Arabidopsis thaliana: one gene and its partner. The protein of the gene in region 2 interacts with the protein of the main gene of each other region in a pairwise test. Each region holds a gene or a part of one and is shown on either strand. Other genes may lie near its edges. The genes, in order: AFP3 and CYTC-2.

What was found.
Region 1: the proteins of CYTC-2 (region 2) and AFP3 interact in a two-hybrid assay, tested with the Arabidopsis thaliana proteins (one large-scale study listed by BioGRID).

Annotation. Positions count from the first base shown.
Region 1 is NC_003074.8:11,376,370-11,388,869, forward strand, and holds AFP3 (ABI five binding protein 3), read right to left. Parts: upstream 7,777-12,500; 5' UTR 7,289-7,776; coding exon 6,898-7,288; intron 6,352-6,897; coding exon 6,047-6,351; 3' UTR 5,845-6,046; downstream 1-5,844. UniProt on the Arabidopsis thaliana protein: Acts as a negative regulator of abscisic acid (ABA) response and stress responses.
Region 2 is NC_003075.7:6,271,931-6,284,208, reverse strand, and holds CYTC-2 (cytochrome c-2), read right to left. Parts: upstream 7,262-12,278; 5' UTR 7,127-7,261; coding exon 7,015-7,126; intron 6,826-7,014; coding exon 6,692-6,825; intron 6,021-6,691; coding exon 5,928-6,020; 3' UTR 5,587-5,927; downstream 1-5,586. Other genes in the region: AT4G10030 (alpha/beta-Hydrolases superfamily protein), read left to right, coding at 11,111-11,224, 11,313-11,447, 11,534-11,560, 11,716-11,806, 12,117-12,160, 12,235-12,278. UniProt on the Arabidopsis thaliana protein: Electron carrier protein. The oxidized form of the cytochrome c heme group can accept an electron from the heme group of the cytochrome c1 subunit of cytochrome reductase.

The DNA of each region.
Region 1 (12,500 bases), on a different chromosome or scaffold from region 2:
TATACTGAAAATTTCATAATAAAATAAATTAAAATACGAAAAACTGACAATGCATCTGATTAGGTGAACTGCGGCTGTGGACAATAGTCTACCTGCAAATCTAATCTACAGTCAAAAGGACAATAGTCTACCTGCAAATCTAATCTACAGTCAAAAATATTTACACAATCTCAATACATTAGTGAAAGAAAATCTATTGATCAAATTTAAGAAAAAATATTGCATACCTTATAATTTTGTTGTTCATGGAAGATAGTAGTCAAATTATAAATCATCATCGGGTTTCTGCAAATTAACAAGAAAAAGACCATAATCCCTATCAAAAAATTCAATCAGAATTACTCATCTTATAAATATAGAGAGGTAAAAAAAGTTTAACATATTACTTTGCGTAAAAGGTAAATAATTAGAAAGCAAGACATACTTTAACAAAATTATGTGTGGGTCTACATTTTAATCTCCCACACTACCTGCATAAATATTTAAAAAACGGATGTGAGAAAAATATGAAAAATATTTATGGAAAAACATAGAGAGTGAGAAAGGATACCTCGATATATTGTTTTTGAAACAACCCAACCCATTTTTTTTATAAATATAATTAAATATTCCTATAAATATCTAATTAAACCAACCAATAAAATAACAATTAAACCACAAGTCAAAAATACTATTTTATGAATAAATAAATAATTCGACCAACAAAACCAAGAATAACTAAGAATCCTAACCGGGTTCCAATAACCAAAAAACACCAAAAATAAAACAAACGAGTTCTTAGATCATCCTCTCTTCCTTGCCATGATTCCACGATCACACTTTATCTTTACCTGCATCAACAACACCATGAGATGCGTAAGTATTATCATAAATACTTAGTGAGGCGATCCTCCCATCTACGAGTTATACACACAAGCAAATAAAAGGGTATAATCACAAATACAAAACAAACAAACCAGTCATTGAACAATTCACCCAAAACACATTCACCACACCTACGTATCATCACACAAAACAAATCACACAACCCAATCGCTCAGATAAGCTAATGGTCACGCACTCACCTTAACAAATTGATTTTAATAATAATTAAACTCAGGAGAGACTCTCCTTGCGTCTGAAACAGTCCAGAAACTCCTACAACAAGTCACAACCAAAAGCAACCTTGAAGCAAACTGGACATAAAAAACAGAAACAAACAACCTCAAAGACGAAACCCTAAAATACAAACTAACCGTTAACTATTAAATCGCTCTGGTGAAACGTTATCCCTAGACGTCACGAAGCTTCCCACAAAATATCGTCCCGATCGAAAACAGACGAGACCACGATCTCAATTTCAATCCCTGCTGGTCCCAATTCGCGTCTGAGAAAACGTGTCTCACGAAACAAGTTCTGTAAACTGGAGCATAACGATAAACGACATGGGAATAACTCTACCAAATTTCGTTACCTTTGACCACGATTTGATATGACGAAGCCGATCTCTCCCAAACCCTAACGATTCTGCTCCTTCTCCTTCCCTCTCTTTTTCTCCTTTATAAAACGAAAAGTGGCTAACTAAAGCCCTAATTTCGAGTTTCCTTCTTTTATAGTCACACTCTAGGGTTTCCAATTAACCCAACCAATTAAATCGGATGATTTAAAAATAAACCCTAACCGATTTTCCGGTTCACGGGCGTTACAGTTTTCTCCATGGTCTCGTCGATCCAAAACCTCAGTTTTCTCCATGGTCTTTTTCTCTTCTGCTAAAATAAAAAAAAGAGGCGAGAGAGTAAAAGAAAATAGAAATTGCTGAGTTAGTTCTTGAAATGGGACGTACAGTATTTATAAGATATAAATTTTTAGGTAAAAGATATACATAAAATATTAAATCGTGGAATTCAAGTTTACAAATTATGATGAATCCCATAATTATAGGAAAATGTCAAAGCCAATTTCTCCCAAACCCTAACGATTCTACTCCTTCTCCTTCTCTCTCTTTTTCTCCTTTATAAAACGAAAAGTGGCTAACTAAAGCCCTAATTTCGAGTTTCCTTCTTTTATAGGCACACTCTAGGGTTTCCAATTAACCCAACCAATTAAATCGGATGATTTAAAAATAAACCCTAACCGATTTTCCGGTTCACGGGCGTTACAGTTTTCTCCATGGTCTCGTCGATCCAAAACCTCAGTTTTCTCCATGGTCTTTTTCGCTTCTGCTAAAATAAAAAAAAGAGGCGAGAGAGTAAAAGAAAATAGAAATTGCTGAGTGAGTTCTTGAAATGGGACGTACAGTATTTATAAGATATAAATATTTAGGTAAAAGATATACATAAAATATTAAATCGTGGAATTCAAGTTTACAAATTATGATGAATCCCATAATTATAGGAAAATATCGAAGCCGATTTCTCCCAAACCCTAACGATTCTTCTCCTTCTCCTTCTCTCTCTTTTTCTCCTTTATAAAACGAAAAGTGGCTAACTAAAGCCCTAATTTCGAGTTTCCTTCTTTTATAGGCACACTCTAGGGTTTCCAATTAACCCAACCAATTAAATCGGATGATTTAAAAATAAACCCTAACCGATTTTCCGGTTCACGGGCGTTACAGTTTTCTCCATGGTCTCGTCGATCCAAAACCTCAGTTTTCTCCATGGTCTTTTTCGCTTCTGCTAAAATAAAAAAAAGAGGCGAGAGAGTAAAAGAAAATAGAAATTGCTGAGTGAGTTCTTGAAATGGGACGTACAGTATTTATAAGATATAAATATTTAGGTAAAAGATATACATAAAATATTAAATCGTGGAATTCAAGTTTACAAATTATGATGAATCCCATAATTATAGGAAAATATCGAAGCCGATTTCTCCCAAACCCTAACGATTCTGCTCCTTCTCCTTCTCTCTCTTTTTCTCCTTTATAAAACGAAAGTTGGCTAACTAAAGCCCTAATTTCGAGTTTCCTTCTTTTATAGGCACACTCTAGGGTTTCCAATTAACCCAACCAATTAAATCGGATGATTTAAAAATAAACCTTAACCGATTTTCCGGTTCACGGGCGTTACAGTTTTCTCCATGGTCTCGTCGATCCAAAACCTCAGTTTTCTCCATGGTCTTTTTCTCTTCTGCTAAAATAAAAAAAAGAGGCGAGAGAGTAAAAGAAAATAGAAATTGCTGAGTGAGTTCTTGAAATGGGACGTACAGTATTTATAAGATATAAATTTTTAGGTAAAAGATATACATAAAATATTAAATCGTGGAATTCAAGTTTACAAATTATGATGAATCCCATAATTATAGGAAAATGTCGAAGCCGATTTCTCCCAAACCCTAACGATTCTACTCCTTCTCCTTCTCTCTCTTTTTCTCCTTTCTAAAACGAAAAGTGGCTAACTAAAGCCCTAATTTCGAGTTTCCTTCTTTTATAGGCACACTCTAGGGTTTCCAATTAACCCAACCAATTAAATCGGATGATTTAAAAATAAACCCTAACCGATTTTCCGGTTCACGGGCGTTACAGTTTTCTCCATGGTCTCGTCGATCCAAAACCTCAGTTTTCTCCATGGTCTTTTTCGCTTCTGCTAAAATAAAATAAAAAAGGCGAGAGAGTAAAAGAAAATAGAAATTGCTGAGTGAGTTCTTGAAATGGGACGTACAGTATTTATAAGATATAAATTTTTAGGTAAAAGATATACATAAAATATTAAATCGTGGAATTCAAGTTTACAAATTATGATAAATCCCATAATTATAGGAAAATGTCGAAGCCGATTTCTCACGAACCCTAACGATTCTGCTCCTTCTCCTTCTCTCTCTTTTTCTCCTTTATAAAACGAAAAGTGGCTAACTAAAGCCCTAATTTCGAGTTTCCTTCTTTTATAGGCACACTCTAGGGTTTCCAATTAACCCAACCAATTAAATCGGATGATTTAAAAATAAACCTTAACCGATTTTCCGGTTCACGGGCGTTACAGTTTTCTCCATGGTCTCGTCGATCCAAAACCTCAGTTTTCTCCATGGTCTTTTTCTCTTCTGCTAAAATAAAAAAAGAGGCGAGAGAGTAAAAGAAAATAGAAATTGCTGAGTGAGTTCTTGAAATGGGACGTACAGTATTTATAAGATATAAATTTTTAGGTAAAAGATATACATAAAATATTAAATCGTGGAATTCAAGTTTACAAATTATGATGAATCCCATAATTATAGGAAACTATTTAGCTATTATCTTATAAGTAGTTATTTAATTATGGAAATTGTTCAGAAACTTTATGCTAATTCAAAAATGAATATCCAACTAAATATTTGATTACCTATAATTATGGAGAAGTGATATATTCGAATTCAAGAAAGAAATATACGCATTGAATATTTTCAATTAATATGATTCAGTTGCTGAAAAAGGAATTCAATTAATTTAATTAACAGAAATTAATATAAACCGAAAATTTAATTCATTTTATTTTAAAATGTTTAAACATATTTTTATATTTTAATTATCAAACATAAAAAAATAGTTTAGTTAAAAGTGTTTTTCTAGTTATTTAAATAAATTTAGAATATTTAAGCTAATTTCGAATTCAAACATATTAATTCGATATTTATAATGTTATATATATATAAAACCGATTTGTTATATTTAATTAGGAAATGTTTTAAAAATTATCTGATTGGATTATTAATCTTTTAGAATATAATAAATATTATAAATCCGTATTGATATAGGAGTATAATTAGTTTTCCGGTTTGGGTTTAGTGCTAAAACCCGATAAGTTCAAAACCGAAAAAACCCTCAAAAACTCGCAATTAACCCGTGACCCGGTGAACCGGTTGAACCGGCCGGGTGTGGGTTTTAATTTTTTTTTTTGATTTTGCAGTAAAATATGGGATTTTAGACTTTATTCAATTATTTTTAAAAGTTTTTTCAGTTCTTAAATTCATTCGATGTTTTAGATTTTGGTGAAGACTTTACAATACCGCCTTAAAAATGAATCGAATGGTGAGAGAGACAATTGAGATTAGTTGTTTGAATTCACGATGTTTTATTAGTTTATTTCTATCATTGGTGATCTCCTACTATATTTGTTACGGTGTTAGACATTTAGTTGGATTTAAAATTTTTAATCACTTTATTATTATTGTTTGATTATATATATATATATATATATATATATTTGGGTGTAAATAATTTTATATTTTGGTAAACATAATATAATTTTATATTTTTTAAACATGATATGATTATTTTGTTTTATATTTATAAATACTAAAAAAATATATATATATATATATTTATAAAATACTCTAAAATTTCTATTAATATTAAATTTATTAAATAAATTTTAACTAATTGACCCGTGGTCCAACCCGGTTGACCCGATGACCCGGTGACCAAGAAGGTAGTCCGGTTCATCATCCGGGTCGGGTTTCAAAACTTTACTGGAGAAAATCAACGGCTAAAAAAAAATCAATTGAATGGCTAAGATTAGAAGTTATGACCCGTTATTTTAAAATTCGGGTCAAAAGGATCCGCGTCTTTTTAAACGGGTTTTTCATGATAGAAAAATTTTAACTCAATGACAAACTTGTTATTTCTGCGAAATGCCCACCTCATTAAATGTACGTTTCAAATAATAGAGTAGATTATATTTAATGATGGGCCAAAAATAAATTTTGTTTTAGGGAAGAATTTATCTTGGGCCGGCTCTGTTGAAGGGTGTCCAAGTATTGGCAAATCTTCGTCGTTGATGTAAGAAAAACAGTTATCACCACCAACAGAAAATAGAAAACATATAAGAAACGAAGACGATCCTCTTTAAATAATTTAACCTTAGCGTGACAATCTTTAATATGTATCACACTTAAATTAGACAAGCCGGTATATTATCTCAAAGACTAAACATTGTACAAGAAAAAGGTCTAAAATTAATCTCAACGAATGAAACCATTCTTTTAAGTACAAAATCTGAAAATTGCGAGTTCGATAAATTTATGTTTATACACCTCGGAGATAATGAGGATTTGTAACATGGTTCCGATACAACAAACCCCTCAAAAGAGACCCAAAGGGTCACAAGAAGGGAGATGGATTTACAACGATGTGCTTTAAGGGATGTGCAACGTCACCACCACCAGCATGCTTAACGAATTCTGCCGGTGAGAGGAAGCTTCCATGACACACACAGACAATCCTCACCTCCTCACCTTTGCGGTACCGATACAGAAACCCATTAATCTTTTTCCCGTTCGGTCCATCGCCTGTTGTTGACACGAATGGCATGTCCTCTATAATGTTTTGGCTCGCTTCTTTGCCCAAATTCTCGGGCTGAGATTGGGCACTTGAAGGGCTTGTTTCCACGGACTTGTTCGTTGTTGCTTCAAACACAAGTAAGTATTTCAGTAAAACACTAAACAAAAGACAACAAAAACTTTGCAAAGCCTAGAAGATATACAATGTTTGCTTTCGAATATTATCGATAATCCCTTGATACATTGTGCATTTTTGAACATACTTTTTCCCTTGGAATGGAAACACAAACAATGTAGTAACTACAACGCACCAAACTTTGTTTCTTTCCACTAACAATACCTAAAATGGCCAAAAATCGAACTCTAAGACACCTAAAAGATACCTAGTGAAAGACACGAAATAAAACGAAAAGCCAAAGACTCAAAAACGCTAACAACACAACAAACCAATCACAATGCCACACAATGAATCCATCCTAAGGGAATCTAATAATCGTAAAATGATATGTTGATATCACTACATCCAAAAGAAGATTCAATGTCGTGTACCCTAATCAATAATCAAAGATCTAAACAAGCAAAACTCAATCTTGAAGATTTAAAAAAAAAAAATCATCTCTTAATCCAAATTCAACAAACTCATGAAAGATCACAAAAACTATGGTAATGTACCTTGAACAGGAGGAAGAAGAGTATCAACTTCAGACAAACCAGAGGAACCACTACCAGAAGAACCAATAGATCCTTCTTCCACAACCTTCTCTTCACCACCACAAGCTTTATGTTTCCTCTGCTTCTCTGATCTCTTTCTCTTAGCCTCAAGCCTCCTCAAACTCTGCAACTCCTTCCTCTTCCTCCACTCTTCCTCCGTCTCCACGGGTAACGAACAAGTCCTACTCAGCCCTGACCTATCGTTGACCACCAAATCAAGAACCGACGTAGACCTCATAAGCCTTGTTTTCGCAAGTGGGTCAACACCAAATCTTCCATTTAGAGATAGACCTAAGTCTAACTCAATCTCTACCTCTCCATCTTCTTCAGACAATCTCTGTTTCTTCGACATGAGCCTGCAACATAATAACTTCGGTCGGAGAATATTAATTCCGGTTAAATTAGAGATCTCTCTTTTTCTCAACTTAGATTTTAGATTAGAAATTTTAACAGATTCTTGATGATAAAGAGCAATTCAAATCCCAAGAAAACAGCAAAATATCAAATTTTGGAAGATTCCATTTCTTCGATTAATGACGACCTTCCCTTTTTATAAATTCAATAAAAAAAAGTTTAATAAAGAAATAAAAAAAAATCCCACAAAATTTCAACATTTACCGAAAAAATCTCCGACAAATCTCGAACGAACACTCAAAAAGAAATTAAGAGCCCAAAGAGAATTTAGATGGAAAAAGAGAAGAGAAAAATCAATCAAACAAAAAGCTGTTTTGTCTAATTTGCGGAAGCCAAAATACCGAAAGTACCCTTGTTTGGTGCATTAACGACACGTGGAATCATGGAAGACTCTGACCCAAGGACTTTGAGCACCCACGTGGTTTTCATCGAGAAAACAAAGACAAGATCGTACACGTGTCTTATGTTCAGTGGTTATTACGTTGTAAGGTGGGATGTTGCAGCGTCAGGTCGTCACGTGTCTTTGTTTTTGTTTTTTAATTTAAATCACATTATCTTTTTTGTGCTACCACGTGTTCCGCTTATCTTCTCTTTTTTTCTCTTGGTAATTGACACGTGGAGATTTGTTAGGTTATGTAACCTGCCTGTCGCTTTAGTAGTTTCATTTCGCTTTGGTAGGAGATTTAGTTTTCTATGATAGTAAACGCAACTTGTCGAACTTTAAATGTATTTAAATTGAAAAGTATGCAAAACGAATATTTGACATTTAAGTGTATTTTTCAATGATTTAATTGTCAACAATTAAGTGATTAGAATAAGATTTCTATTTTGTTAGTGCGATGGTTGGTTAATATTTTTATTTGTATAGAATAAACATGAGTAAAGACAATTAATTTTCTTTTTCAATGTAATGACCATGTTAGCAATACTTTGACCGTGGGTTTCAATATCTTAGATCATAGTGTTTTAACAATAAAATTTTATGAAACATTTGTAACTTGTAAAAAAATAGAGTCGTAAGGTTAAAAATACTTTTTAATAATTTTTTATAATACTAATTAGTACCACTTTTAAATTAGTCATATACCATACAAAATAAAATAAAATCGCTGACATAAATTTTTTGTATATTTTTGAAAAATAAACAAAGAAATTAAATTATACGTGTTTCTAAATTGTTACTAACTATCATAATTGCTTTTTAAAAACTATCATAAACTTAAAACTTCTGCAGTCATATTTATAAATATAAATATCTAAAAATTTTATATACGTTTATAGAAGAGTGGTTTGCGTTATAGTTTTTACAAATTAAATAAAATCATATATCAGCTTAGATAATAATTATCTTTAAAATTATTAGTTACATCAAATTTTAGTTTATGAATTTTTTTTGTTTTAAGTTTATTTTTTTAAAAAGTTATTCTTAAATTTTAATGAGGCTATTTTAGTATTTTTATATATTAAAAATTAATTGTTTAAAAAGGAAGAAAGAATAGGGTATTTTTCAAATGAAAACTCAAAAATAGGGCATTTTTCCAAATTTACTCTTTATAAAAAGTGGTTAAAGTTTAAATTTTAGAATTAATGAAATTATATGTTGTTATGAGTTTATAAAAAAGGGCATATGATTCAGATTTTACAATTAATTCTTAATTTATTTATTTTATTTGTTTGTCTAACTTTTAATTTATATTAAATTATTATATGCCATGGCATAATGATTGGTTAAAACTAAAGGAAGTGAATATAAGAGTTCATGAAATAAATAGCAAATAGAGCAAAATATTTTTGATAATTTATCCACAAGATTATTATTATTATTATTATTATTGTAAGTAAATTGTTTTATGATATGTCTTTCCAAATTGGTAACAATTATCCAAATTTAAAAGTTTCTGGTCATCATATTTATAAATGCATATATCCATTGCAGTTCAGAAAAAGAAGATATCTATACAGACAACCAAATATCTAAATATCTAAAATTTAAATTATTTGGAACTAATATCATAGGAAGTCAAATAGTTTTGGATATTTTTTTATAACAAGTTTTTATAAAGTATTAATATATCTAGTAGCAATCATATTTTCAATATTTTTTTGTCACACTCTAATTCTTTGCTAGCTTTATCCGTCTATTTGTTAATAAAATTTACATGTTTAGACAATGTCTCTTTTTCTCGGGTTAGAAATATATATTTTATAAGTGTTAGTTCAAACTTTGATTTTTTTTTATAATTTCTGGTAAATCTCTGAACCTATGGAAAGGTTCATGATTAATTCCTAGAGAGAGGGTATCCTATATCCTATATATTTGATATCTTCCGGGTTTTTAAATAGATCTTAAGTAGCATGTCTATACTTATAGTCAAAAAAATAAAAGTAAGCAATTCTACATATGGAGAGAATCGATCCCTGACTTAAACAAACAGGACCACTTCCACCAGACTAGAACCACTAGCCCACCACCTTTCGTTGGGTCGTCAGACTTTGAGTGCTTAGGCTATCGATGACCGTCCCAAAAAAAATATGGTAAATATAAAAGATCTACAGAGCTAGATATCCGCATTTTTTAGGATTTCGAATGAAGACGATGCAGTCATTCTCATATAGATTCTCTTAGAAAAATTACACTTTTATAGTTTTTTTTTTCTTTTTTCTTGGACTTTTCACTACTTATTTTTTACTTTTGTATGTTTTTTGAAAGGTCGGACTCTTCAATCATTCTCTAAATTATTCCGAGTTGAAGAAAAAGTTAAGCATCAAAATATACAAGTAATAATTCTAACTTTTTTTATATTTAAAAGTCAGTTTGAATAAAGACATTGTTTGCTAATAGCTTATAATGAAATGCCATGGAAAACTAGTAGAAAATCAATATCACATAACATTTGTATATTTGATCTGATTTAGATGTCAGAACAATAAAATCACTAATGTTGTAATGATTTTATGAACAATTTCAACCACAAAATCGTCACTAATTCGTATTTGGTTGAATTTACATCAAACTAGCGAATGATGACATCTTAGGACCAATCCATCTCTCCGTTCAAACTCATAAAAACGCAAATATTGCAACATGTATAAATGCAGATAAATAGACCAAAATAATTAAATTGAATAAATTCAATGAAAGGAAGACAAAGCATGTGAAAGATACGTATGAAAATTGACAACAACAAAAAGAAAAATAATTTACGAAAGAAGAGAATCTGCAGAGAAAGAAACACGCAAGAAATCAGACAAGAGATCAGATGGTGGACCTCACAGAGATTTAACTCTTTTTAACCCCAAACTTTATTGTTTCGGTCTATCGACGTCATTCCTGTGGGTGTTTGACACGTTGACATTGTTTCACAACAGATAAGCAAAACAATCAACCAAATTAGAAAGTGTAGAGGAAAAAAACGATTTTTTATTCAGATAAAGAAAATGAGTGTTTATAATGGGTATTGAACTAATCAATTATGATATCATTTGAATTGTAATCTTTTTGTTACGTGTAATTTAATATTTGCGTCTTAGTATTTAAACAAGTTATACCAGTTTTATATTACTAATAAATTAGTTTTTAGTTTTACTACATTAAATTTGTGTCACATTAATATTTGATTTGTTTCACTTTATTTCCTTCTTGTTGGGCTGTTTATGGTTTCTTTTAATTTCATTAAGTTGGGCTGTACCCACTAAAGTTAACCAATCTGGTAAATGAATACAAATTTGAATCAAAAGAGAAACTCAAAAGGAGTAAAGGACCCCTTTGCTATGACATGTGCTGGTACATTGATTCACTTAACATGAATCAATCAATGTGTTTAAACTTTGACGCCCAAAACATGATATCGTTGTGTAAGCTGTTTAAGTCTTTTAACATTAAAACCAATAAGAAAGTTTTTTATGTCCACTTGTGACCCGTTAGGTATATGTTAACAAAAATTTGGCAGTTCCCCTTGAAAATCACTAATTAGTATGACAAGAATTTGATACTTTGTATAGAAGTTTCGATATGCAATATTTTGTTCCAATCTAACAATTACATCTTTTATACGTAAGGTATCATTATCTCGGCGATCAATCCAATCTGTAGAGAAAATTAAGAATAATAATATCTTGTAACAGAAACAAACACAAAAATTTGATAACTGAGTTCACGGCTAACCGCTACGTCTCGGGGAAGGACTCTTGCTTCCAAGCTTAACTATATCAAAGAGGTTACACACACTACTAACTTGTGATGTCCTTGGTTCTTTTTCAGATTTTAAACACAAGAAGAACAAGATTCAAGAACAACAAAGAGGAAGAAGAAAGCTTGCTTTGGAAGCTTTTTATCTCTCTTCTCTAGAACTCTCTTTAGCTTGTCTTGTCACACAACTACCACAACTTCTCTTTGTAAGTTGTAATAAAGATATTATATATGTGATATGTAATGTACCACTTTTGTTCTTCTTTCTCTTCATGCCATTTTCGTCAGGCCCACAAAGGCCCAAATGATGTGTTTAGTCAAACCCAAATAACAATCTCCACCTTTTGACCAAACTCAATTCTGACACTTGAGTACTTCTCACAAAAATAACTCAGCTTGATTGTCCTATTTTATGAGACTATTGAAGTTACCAGGGCCGCTGCTCTGCTCTACTTCAGTGGATGTTGGGAAGCTCACAACAATGCTGGAACTTCATACCAGGTACTACATCCCTCTTAAGAATTTTCGGTCATTTACTTGTGTGAGCCTTAGATACACTGATATAATTCATCTGCTCTAACTCACTGTCCAGTTGTGAAAAGCCCTTAGCTAGCACCCTAGACTTATACCTTTGCTTTTCAACAACTTCTAAACAAGTTTTATGATAACCCATATCAAGTGTACACAAGAAGATCCAAGCCGCACGTGTGAAGAGAAGAAAACAAGAAGAAGACACGTGCGAATAAACATTTGTATATAAACTTTGTAGCTTTCAGAAGAAGTTTTCATGTTTTGTTTTGTTGTGCATTTGAATTATGTGTCATTTGTGAGAGATAGAGTGATGATCTAGAGATGTTCTAGAGCTCTTCTCTGAAACAATTTATATCGATTATTTGTTTGTTAATAAAGATTACATCTTGTTTCTATCAATTGGTGCGTTCGTGATCGAGATCGAAGTATC
Region 2 (12,278 bases):
AAAATTATAGAAGAAGCTAAAAGTTATTAAAATTTAATAATTATTAATTTATATAGAGATTTGACTAATTTATATTTTTTTTAAAACTTTTCTATCTAAAGATTAGCTTTTCGTTATAATTAATATTCTTTTATAACCAATTACAAGTAAAAAATAATTATTACGTTAAAAAAGAAAAAAGAACACTACCAAGAATTAATACAAATTTAAGGAATACAAACAATACTATAGTCATATACCACTAAATTGTCTTACATATAATATAACTTTATAAACTTATAAAGTTATAATATATATATATATATATATATATATAAGTTTAATTATATAATTATTAATTCATGATATGAATAAGAGTATCATTTAATAGTCGAAGAAAAGAAAGTGTCGTCATTTAATCAACGCAAAAACGGGTTGATGTAATTAGCCAATGTGAATATTTCAGCGTTAATTCCTGCTCAATCAAAATCAGTCCGTTACAGTTAACTTAATCCGAACTATATCGAACGATTTATTACGTCAATTATTCTCTCAGATGAATATTTTGTCAACTTTTTAAAACAGTAAAAAAACCAAAAAAAAAAAGTTTAAACAAAACAAATCTGTCAATGATCCAAAGATTTTGGTATTTCTTGTGGATCATCGTTGTAAGCATTAATAAGATTTATTTTTTGGAGAAAAGAAACTAGTGAAAAAATAAGAAAAAATAAATCTTATTAATGCTTACAATGATGAGTTATAAAAAATACCGAAATCTTTGGATTATTGACAGATTTGTTTTGTTTAAACCATTGTTTTTTTTTTTTTAAGAAGTTGACGAAATGTTCATCTGCGAGAATAATTAACGTAAGAAATTGTTCGATATAATTCGGATTAAGTTAACTATAATGGACTGATTTAGATTGAGCAGGAATTAACGTTGAAATATTCACATTGGCTAATTACATTAATCCATTTTTGCGTTGAATAAATGACGACACTTTCTTTTCTTCAACTATTAAAGATATAATTGATTACTCCTACTACTATTGTTATCACTAGTTATTATTAGTGGTAGCTAATTATAGTGAAAAAAACAACTAAACAAATTTACACAACCTTAATGGCTAAGTGAAAGAGCACATATAGTAGGCACTCAATATTTGTGATACTCATGAATTTCTCCATCTTTCTCTAGGGTATGTATTTCTTCCCATTAAAGTTAGCTTAATAGATTAGTTGTTTAATTATTTCAAATTATGTATCCAATTTGCACTAATATAGTGTGATAGTGTGAAGTTTGTACAAAATTTATCCTTCACTCGATTAGTGATATAGTTTTTATTTTGGATTTCGAATCTCACCTAGAGTCATGGGTATAAAAATCGAATAGAGAATAATTTTTTCAATTGCAAAAATACCTAATTTATAGGAAAAATCTCAAACCCTTTAGCTTCAATAGTAGGGTATTTAACAGCAAAGTAAATTAAAAAAACTCTAACCCTACTTCAAACTTAGCAAGTAGATTAATATGACATGCATAAAAAAAAGTCCATGAAAAGTAAACTACTAATGCACACAACACGAGTTACTCATAATTCATAGGTTGAATGGTTTTCTTATTAGCAATAAGCTAGGGCTCGAATATGAGCAATTTGCCACATAAGTGGATAAACACGAATTTGAAATGAAATCTACAGCTTATGATTCTTCTAATGATACTAAATTTTACAATCCAGACTCGTGTCATCATACATTTTCTACAAGATGAAATCTCACTTGTCCGAAAACCAAAATTCCAAAATGTTGCAAATCTCACAATATACAGTATTAATATACTCATACATCTTAGCATATAGATCAGTAACACTATAGAGATTGTTATATAAGAAACTCATTCAATCCCAAAAGTACAAGAGTTGTGTTACAAACTAATTAAACCTAAAAAGCTCCAAATACAAACGTATCATCACATATCTAAATAAAAATCATATATAATTCAGCTTAAAATCACAAATCAAACACAAGAGGTTATAGATGCCATGAAAGGATAAGTAAATGCAACAGAATCACATGAAGACATATGTAAGCGTAATCAATGCATATAAGATTATGAATATATCGGATTAATAGCTCGACCGCTTCTACTGATTTGGTAATGAGTGACCCACAAGTCAGGCAAGAGGATTGTTTTATTAGCCTCTTTCTTTCTGGTGAATCTGGTCTTAGCCATATATGTAACGCTCGTACTAATCGAAAAATTTCGACTTAGAAATTAATATATCCTTTGTTTAGGAAAAGAAGATAAAGTTTTAACAAAAAGTGTTGTCTCAATAAGGCTAGAAATTACACGTGTTGGCATAGTTTTGACCATCGAAGACATGTTTTTGGTTTCTTTTGTTGGTCGTGCAATTTGGAATGATCTTGAATTTCCCAAGCGAATTGTGAACACATTATCGTTCCATATACATAAAAGAATTGGATAAAGAAGCAGCCATTACAAACTTGTTGAATACCGCCTACTGATACGCCGCCGTTTTGCGATAGCAAAGAGAAAAGGTAAAATCAGTCTGATCGATATATGAAAAATCTAACTTTCAAATATGTAGTATATATATCATCAATATTACACCAAAGCTACTATAAAATGGATCTGATAGTACATTGATTTATACACAAAAACTAGATCATAACGCGTGCTATACAACACGGACATTAATATTTTGTATAAATTAAATTGTATACTTTTGTTTGAATTACATAAGAAATTGTATAGTATAAAAGTTATGCCATAATATTATTTACTGTTTTTACTATTTGCATATAATGTTGCATTGGATTGATTTTGTTTAAAAATGTTGTTTTTATAATAAATATAATATATGTAGTTTTAAGTAAATGTGTAAAATTTGTATACAAGTTGTTTTGGTAAGAAACATGTTTTCTTTGTATTAGAGGATCTAATTTTTGGCCTAACTTAGAATTAGTCTTTGTATACTATTTTTGTTATATTTGTGGACCTAATTAAGGCCTATATTAGATTATCTTTGATATGGGTGACGAAAAAACGGATCCGATAACCAACCCAATACCCGAACCAAAAAATTGGGTTAGGGCGGGTTAAATTTTTAGGAAAATTCCTTATTGGATAGAGTTTTAGTAAACCCGTGGATATCCGATTGGCCCGGAAATTACCCGTTACCCAAAAAGAGTATTCAAAAACCCAAACATTAATTTAATATCCAAAATATTAATTATATTTAATCGTAATATTATCTAATTATCTAAGATTATAATTATAAATCTAAATATGTCAATTAAATTTGGACCTAAATATCCAAAACAACTAAACTATTCAAAAATTATTTATTATGTTTGTCAAAATTTAGTAAAATATATTCAGATATAATTAAATTTATTAAAACTTAACAAATTTAAAAGTTTTTTTTGTTTGGAGATGCGCTATCTACATACAAATTTACCGTTTCTATTTTTTTGGGTATTTTTAGGGTCTGAAACTTTTTATCCAAACTGACCCAAACCCAACTGGATCAGACCCGAACCAGAACCGAATATTTATAATTATTCTATTGGGTAGTAAATCATATACCCATTAATCCCAAACCCGAACGGGTTCTACCCGAACTCGAATGGGTTACTCATATGCCCAATATTCTCTGATTTAATTATCTAAAAACTCTTTAAAAAAAACATATGTTTTACTAACTACTTTTTATTCAAAAAAATTTAGTGTTTAAAAAAACATATTATTTAGTGTTTAAAATTATACACTTGTATTTTGATTGTTAATTTTAGAGTTTCACATGTAGTATACCATCTTGTATTAATATCGATTTAGGGCCTGACTGTTTTAAACGCAGCGGGTGCGGTTGCGGTTGCGGGAGTTTGCGGAAACGGGCGGTTGCGGTTTCAAGCGTTATCAAGCGTTTTGAAAATTCCTTATTGGGTAGAGTTTTAGTAAACCCGTGGATATCCGATTGGCCCGGAAATTACCCGTTACCCAAAAAGAGTATTCAAAAACCCAAACATTAATTTAACATCCAAAATATTAATTATATTTAATCGTAATATTATCTAATTATCTAAGATTATAATTATAAATCTAAATATGTCAATTAAATTTGGACCTAAATATCCAAAACAACTAAACTATTGAATGAATAAACAACGATGCTATGAAATAGTTAAAGAATTACACTAGCTAATGAATGAATAAAAGGATAGATGATAGTTATGTTTGATTCTTGATTTTGATTTTCATCGAATGCCATAATTGAGATAATAAGGTTACAATATATTGATTAAGGTTTTCTGATAAAAATAAGATATATAAAAGATTAGATTATTTTAATTATAGTGATTAGAATTTGGGTGGAAGCCACCATTATTTAATTTAATTAAAAAAATATTATTTTTTTAACCTAACCGCTACCGCCCGCAACCGCAAACGCTTGCGGGAAGGAGCTTTTGAAAACGGGCGATTTCGAGCGGTCCAAAGCGATGTCTAGCGGTTTCTATGATTGGTGTCAATCGCTAACAATCGCTACCAATCGCAAACGCTGCGTTTGCGGGTGGTAAAGGGAGAACCAATCAAGCCCTTAAACCCGTCAATTCTAGGATTTTCCAGCTTCTATTAAATATTGAATCACATCATACACATAAAAAAAATCTAATATGTTATTAATTATTGTAGTATATAAGATTAAAAATTTTTAAAATAATATGTATGAAATTGAATATAAATATTCAAATTATGACCCAATACTCAGTAGAAAATTTTCTTAAATCTATTTTTGATCCGTTATAATATTTTTTATGTATTGAACAGTTTATATTCGTTTTTAAAAATTCAAATTATGGTATATGCGAAGCAACTCTAATTATTTTTTTATAACGATGATATTATTTTTTCGCAAAAATAGAATCATATAAAGATGAGAGGTGAACTATAATAATTAATAAAAAATTAATATAAAATTTAGATATCAAATCTAATTTGTTGATTTTGATTGGTTACTTTTTTGGAAATTAATAATGTATTTCGTTTTTTAATTAAATTAGTATTTAACTTAAATTTTTAAAGAGATGAATTAATTTACTCTTTAAATTTTATTTCTAATGGCATACTTATGTAATTACTTACAAAGGTTATATTTAAAATGTACTTCCCAAATAATATAGTAGGATATCCCAATGATATTTAGACAAAGAAAAATAAAAAAACAGGTCAATCTTGCTTGCGAGTATTTGGGGAAGGAGTTTTGAGAGACAAACCAAGATCTCTGCAAGACTCTTCATTAGGCTGCAAGCTTCCAAGTAAAGAACCAAAAGCTGTTCTTGAAGCTTAAATGTGGCAAATGTTCTTGTGGGGTAATAAAATCTAATAATATGCATTAATTATAGAACCACTATGCTGCATAGGAATTCACTTTATATATGCATCTTAGGTGGTAAATAATCTTTTATGCCACTTATCATATGGCAACTCGTAATGATCCACCATTTTTATTTTATGCCAAAATGCTTCAACTTTATCTTCCAAAATGAATGTAACACTGTCAGATTTTCCTTTATGTTGTCTTTTATGTTCTACTGATTTAGCTGAATTATGCGCATCTCTTACGTATTTGTCTAATTATTGAAATGAAAATGAACAACTGAAAAAAAGATTCTAAACTCGTAACAAAAGTAGGCAAGTTGAATTAGGAAAATCTCATGACTATCGTGGTGGAAATTGGTTCTTAGCTCTTCACATCAATAACGAATATTCCACTTTATAAGAGGCAACTAGCCTCTTCAACAACGTAAAAAGAAAGAAAGAATAAAAGACCATACAAAAAGCAGTTCATGACCATAATATTTTTGGTCTGATTTTATTTAGCTGTGAGAAAAAAAAATGCCAGCTTCATATATCTGGACGAGCCTGTCTAAGCAGTACCTTCCTTCAAATAAGCGATGAGATCGGCACGATCTTGCGGTTTTTTCAGTCCAGGAAACACCATTTTTGTTCCAGGGATGTACTGTAACAAGCAAAGAAATTCCACACCAATTCAATCAAATTGAGATCTTATCTCTTCATAATTGCTCAAAAAGAAACAAGCGACCCAAAAGTGTGAAGAAAGGAGTCAGTATTAGCCAAACAGCATTTTCTTGACAGACAATATTATGTTTCGATATTCTAGAATATGCAATATAATAAATTGGAACACTGTTGAGATGATGATGCACACACAGGTTATGATGCACCAGCTTAAAGAGTGAAAGATGAATCATAAGATTTGTGGAAAATTCCACAAATCAGCTCAATAAAGAGACAATAGACAAGAGTGAAGGAAAGACTCAAGTATTAACCAAAACAAATGTTGCTAATTGCTTGATATTCTTGAACATGCAATAGAAAACAAATGGCACAACATTGAGATGTTGCACTTATTAGTGTACCATTTTGAAAGATGATGTCCAATTTCACAAATATGGAGATTTTTGCACCAAACCGAAATGAACAAACAAATTGTGTTTCTAGATCAACCTAACAATACTTAAGAAGGTATAAAGACTCATAATTCCTTTTGCAACAAATATTCTAAAACTAAAGACCACTAATCCACAAATTAGCTTATGAACAATCAAGAACCTTAATCACCAGACTCTATGATCGAAGTCCATTAAAGATTAAAGAGCAATCAAATACCTTCTTAGGATTCAACAAGTAATCGTAAAGAGTCTTCTCCTCCCAATTCACAGCCATGCTTTTGTTAGCAGCAGAGTAAGAATATCCTGGAGTTGTTCCAGATTGTCTTCCAAACAATCCATTCAAATTCGGTCCTGAATTCATAACAAAATTCCAAAATTCAAAATAAAGACATACGGATCCTAAACAAACACAAACGAAGATCAATACGAGAAAACGAAACGCATGTGGTAGATCCAGATTCGAACAAAGCGTAACCAAATAAAATCAAACGATGATGATACAGAATATTGTGGATCTAAGAGAGAATCAGAGGAACAGACCTTGTTTGTGACCGGCACCTTTCTCGACGGTGTGACACTGAGCGCACTTGGTTCTGAAGATCTTTTCACCGGCTTTGGGGTTTCCGGGAGGTGCTTCGTCGAACGACGCCATTGAAGAAGCAACAAGGAAGAAATATCAACGGTGGCTTTTTGACGGTTTCTGATTTTTTTTTGAAATGACCTTTTTTATGAGAAGTGAGAAAAAGAAGGTTCGAGGAGGCAGAAGAAAAATAGAGGTGGCGTGAGAGATACACAGGCCATACGTTTTGTTCTGGGTACACGTGGCGTCTAAATAGTGGTTTATTTTGAGTCGGTTGACTATTTATTTCTGTTTTTTTTTATTATTTTATAAAACTCGGTTTAGGAAGTGGGCTTACAAATGGGCTCAGAAAGTAAATATTCGGGCCTAAAATTCACATATTTGTTTTTTTTTATTTTTATTTTTTACAACCTTTATATTTATAACCCAAAAATATTTTCTTGACTACTATATATAGTTTTTTATTTAATGAAATATTATTTTTAGTGAAAAATAGTAAAAAAACAAAAAAGGTAGTTTTGCAAATCTCCCAAAGTAAAAGGTAATTTTAAGACGGGTTTTATTTACATTCCAACTTTCATTTTCACAGCTTTAATTTTCAAATTTCGTTGTAAACTCACTTCTCAAATAGTAATATTTAGAAGTTAACCAATTAATTAAAGAGGTATGCCAAAAGTGTTAAAAATAAAATACATATATACACACATGAAAATATGCAAGTCCATTCTTTTTTTTTCATTTATGGAAATCTATATTTGTCATTCTTTTAATTGTTTAAAAAGTTTAGTGAAACATTCAACTCACGATTGATAAATTTTCATGTTCTAGAAGTTTTATACACACCAAAGATATTATTATTTTCATATATGATATATCCAAATGTAATTCAAGTAAAAATGATTAAAAGTTTTATAAGTAAAATGAGTAACAAACTAACAATGACTCAACTATTTTTCAGGTAAAAAAAAGGAAAAATTAATAATCCTTATTTAACTCTAAAACTTTAGAGAAATTTGCAAAAATACCATTTTTCTCCTAATTATCTTTTTGTCCACTTTTACTCTTGGGCAGTTCGTTTTATTTCTTCTGCAAAATCTGTATCATCTTTGGATCCGAAAATATTGGAATATCATCACGATTTTAGAAATGAAATCAATTACTTCTTTAAGCAGACATGGATATTTTACTTTTGTCAGTTGCAGAACTCCATAGTTAAAGTTTGAAAGTGTTCTCGTCAATGATAAAACTTCAAATTCAACTTCAAAATAATTTGTATTTTGCATTATAGTTATCATATTGTTTAGTTCATAAAAGCTTATATATATAACTATAAAACATACATTAAATAAATATTATAAGCAAATTGATTAATAAATAAAACATTACATTACAATATAAAATTACATATAAATAATAATAATAAACTCACAAATTAAGTCACAACTTCCAAATAGAATACAAAAACACTGAATAAACTTGTGCATCATATGTACTCTCTAACATCACAATCTCTATAAATGTTTTCATTTCAAATCAATTTAAGTAGAGATGAGGGTGAATTAAATTTCATCACATTGTCCGAAAGTAATAAACCACATGTTAATATTTTGTTTTCATCAAATGAATAAATTCTTAATCTACTAATAAAAGTGCAGCAACTAAGGGAAAGAGCTATGAGATAGCTCAACAACATATGCAAAATCTAGCAAAATAAAAATAAAAATTAATGAGTTTATTCAGTTTGAACTACTAAGAATGATACCCAAAAACAAAATTCAAAAAAAAAAAAAAAAACATTCGATCACATCAAATTTGTATATATATAATACTTTGGTGACCTTTGTATTGTTGTAGTATTTTATTTCTTGTAACATTTATGTGTTCATGTAACTTTATTTCTTTTATTACTACATTTTGTATTAAATTTGTTTAATATAATATTGTTATGTGAAGAAAAAAAATATGTAGGATTTCTTTTCTATTAATACTTTAAATTTATTTTGTTTATTTAATTTTATATGTATAAAATTAAATTTATAAGGATATATGTGAAATAGTTATGAAATCTAAAATTAGGAATTAAATTGATAAACAATAAGATTAGTAAACTTATTTGTTTGATGTATAAGTAAGTGTAGGCGCTGAAATGCAAAAAAAAAAAAAAGAAGTTATTTTTGGGAGTCAAGTTTAAAGTTTTGAAGTTATTTTTCTAGTACAAAAAAAATTCATATTTGAAAATAAAGAGTAATTTTGAAGATGTCCTAACTCGTTTTGGCTCTTTTTCTCGATTATAATCATATATATGAAGTTGGCCAACTCTCTCCATATGAATGACACATCATCACACAAGAAAAATGACATGTGTCATTTTATATTTTTTAAATTAAAAATTAAATAAGCAACTTAATTGTATCATCAATCCTACTCTTAATTGATTTTTTCTAAATAAAAATAAATAAATAAATAAAAAATTATGTTAAAAATTAAGCACTACTTTTATTATACTCTTTTTATTTTAATAATTTTTTATTATCAATAATTACTACTCTATAATGACTAAAATTATAGTCTTTATAGTACTAATTGCCCAACTTTCATATATATAATTTTATTTTGAGTCTTTGATGACATTGACATTCAAGTTTGTTCAAATATTAAACCTTTAAGACATTAGAGCTACCAAATAATTTAATACACGATCATTTCTTTTATATGGATATATATATGCAATGATAGAAGATCTAAAAGTATTGATTTAAATAATATTTTAACTTTTGCTTTCTTTTTATTCTTTTCATATGAATACTCTTGAAATCTTATTAGTTTATATCAATTCTATACATTTAATCATGAGTGTATAACAATGTTGTTGGAATACTATATTAGAAGAATACATAAAAAAAAAAATAGTTTATATATATATATATATATATTCAAGTTAGACCGTTTTCAAATCATCCAAGACACGATCATATTTCTAATGATAGAATATTCAAAAGTGTTGACTTAAATGACATTCAATTTTTGCTATATTTTTATTTCTTCATTTGAATACTCTTGAGATCTTGTTCAGTTGATGTCAATTCAAACTTTAATCATAAGTCTATCACAATTTGTTGCAGTACATAAAACAAGGAATTAATTTATTTATAATCGAGTTAGACAAATTTTAAACCATACAATTAACATAGTTACACATAAATTGTATCAAAATATCATATATTGTTGTTATATGTATTTATGATAGTGAAAAAATATTAAATCTTATAAATAATCAGCTTTATACATGAAAATATATAAATTGATATTTTGAGTTACAAATGAATTCAACCATAAAAATTGTAATTACATATTATAGATCTAATTTTATTAACAATACAATAATAAATAAAGAATAAACATAAATTAGCAAAAAAATAAAACTCATCTAATTTTTTAAAAAGTTAAACCAAATCAATTTTAGTTTTACTATCTCTTTATTCAGTTTGATAATAATCCTTTTTTATCCTTTTTTCATGAGACTAATTTTTGATAACAATCAGTCAGCTTAACATTGAAAGTCCGAGCATAAATGGCTAATGGGATAATCATGGAAAAAAATTTAAAAAAGTTAAATCAAATCAAATTTATTTACTAGGTTTAGTTAGGTTTGTAGGATTAAGATTTTGGGACTAAAATATAGTTTAACACCCCTAATTATAACGTTTACAACATTATTTAAGGTTTGATACAAGAAAAAGAGAGATGTGAGGGTGTTTAGTTAGGTGAGAAACTCTGGACCGACCAAGTGGTCGATTCAAGTCTGTGCAAAGCCGACAAAAGGGGCAAATCTGTCATTCACTCTGTTTTCAACCTGAGATTCACCAGAAACAAAAACATACGGCGGAGTAAAAAACAAAGGCGACGGAGATACCAAGAAAAAAAAAATACAGAGGAGGAAAAGAAGCACATTGTCGCCGTCTCTTTAACTTCCTTCATCAATCTCCGTCTCGTGAATCTCTGTTTCTTTGATCTGTAATTGCGAATTCGTCGTTTCCCAATTTTGAAATTGTTGTAATGTCGGCGGTCTCGTGCTCCACGGCGAGTTCTAGCGGAGGATGTGCATTTAGGTTTCGATCAAAGACATCAATCCATTCTCCTAATTTCATCAGAATTGGGACAAATTCTCAGGTTTTGAGATTTTCCTTCTCTCTGTTTCAATCTCTCTAGCATCAACAAGTATAAAGTTCCTAACTTTAACTTTTTACGCTACTTGAAGAGTGACAGATTCTGTAATCATCGTTTGGAATTGGTACATGGAACTCGTAAAGTGAAAGGAGCATCTGTACGTATGGCATTAGTTGAGGAGAGACAATCAACGAGCAAAGATGTTGCTGAGCCTCCTCGGGTCCTGGTACATAAAGTTTGAGACTTGAACACATTTTGATGTGAATTCATGGACTTTGATGATTGATTATATCTTGTGCCATTGTTTTGCAGGCGTATGATCTTGTTCAAGGAGCACTTGTAAGTTATCTGAGAGCCAGTCTGTTTTATATTTCTTCACTGGAGTGTTTAATCTTTGTGTGTGAAGGAAAAAGTATTGAACTTGATAACATAAGTTTGAGAGATTATCTGTTTTTCAGATTGATTGTGGACTGAAATGATTTATACATACGCAGGTGAAATGGAGATGGAAGGATGACAAATCTGTTCCAGATACACCTACTGCTGTTCTCCTACACGGAATTTTAGGGAGCGGGAAAAACTGGGGTCAGTGTTGTGTGGTTCCTTGTAAATTGCTTCAAGTTTGGCTTATACTTAATTTCTTCAATATTATAAAAGGAACTATGAAACCAGTAAAGTCATTCCTGAATCTCTTCATGTGCCTGTTAGTGGCAAGCAAAAAGATCATCGATCTTTTTGAATCGCTGAATTGTTCGAAAGGGATTGTTAATGCCTTCTCAGTGTTTTTAGTTTTGTTTCTCTTTTGTTCAAACTTTACGGTTTAGCTGTATAGTGTGGAAAGATCTCTAGCTAATCATAATACCCTTATTTTCCTTCTTGGGTCTTGCTACTCTAGGCACTTTTGCTCGTAGATTGGCTCATGAATTCCCAACGTGGCAGGTATTTGTTTATCCAGATGCACACTTATTGGCTTGCAAATAACTAATCTTCTCCTCTTAATTCAATCTTCATAGTTTCTATTGGTAGACCTGCGTTGCCATGGGGATTCAACATCTCT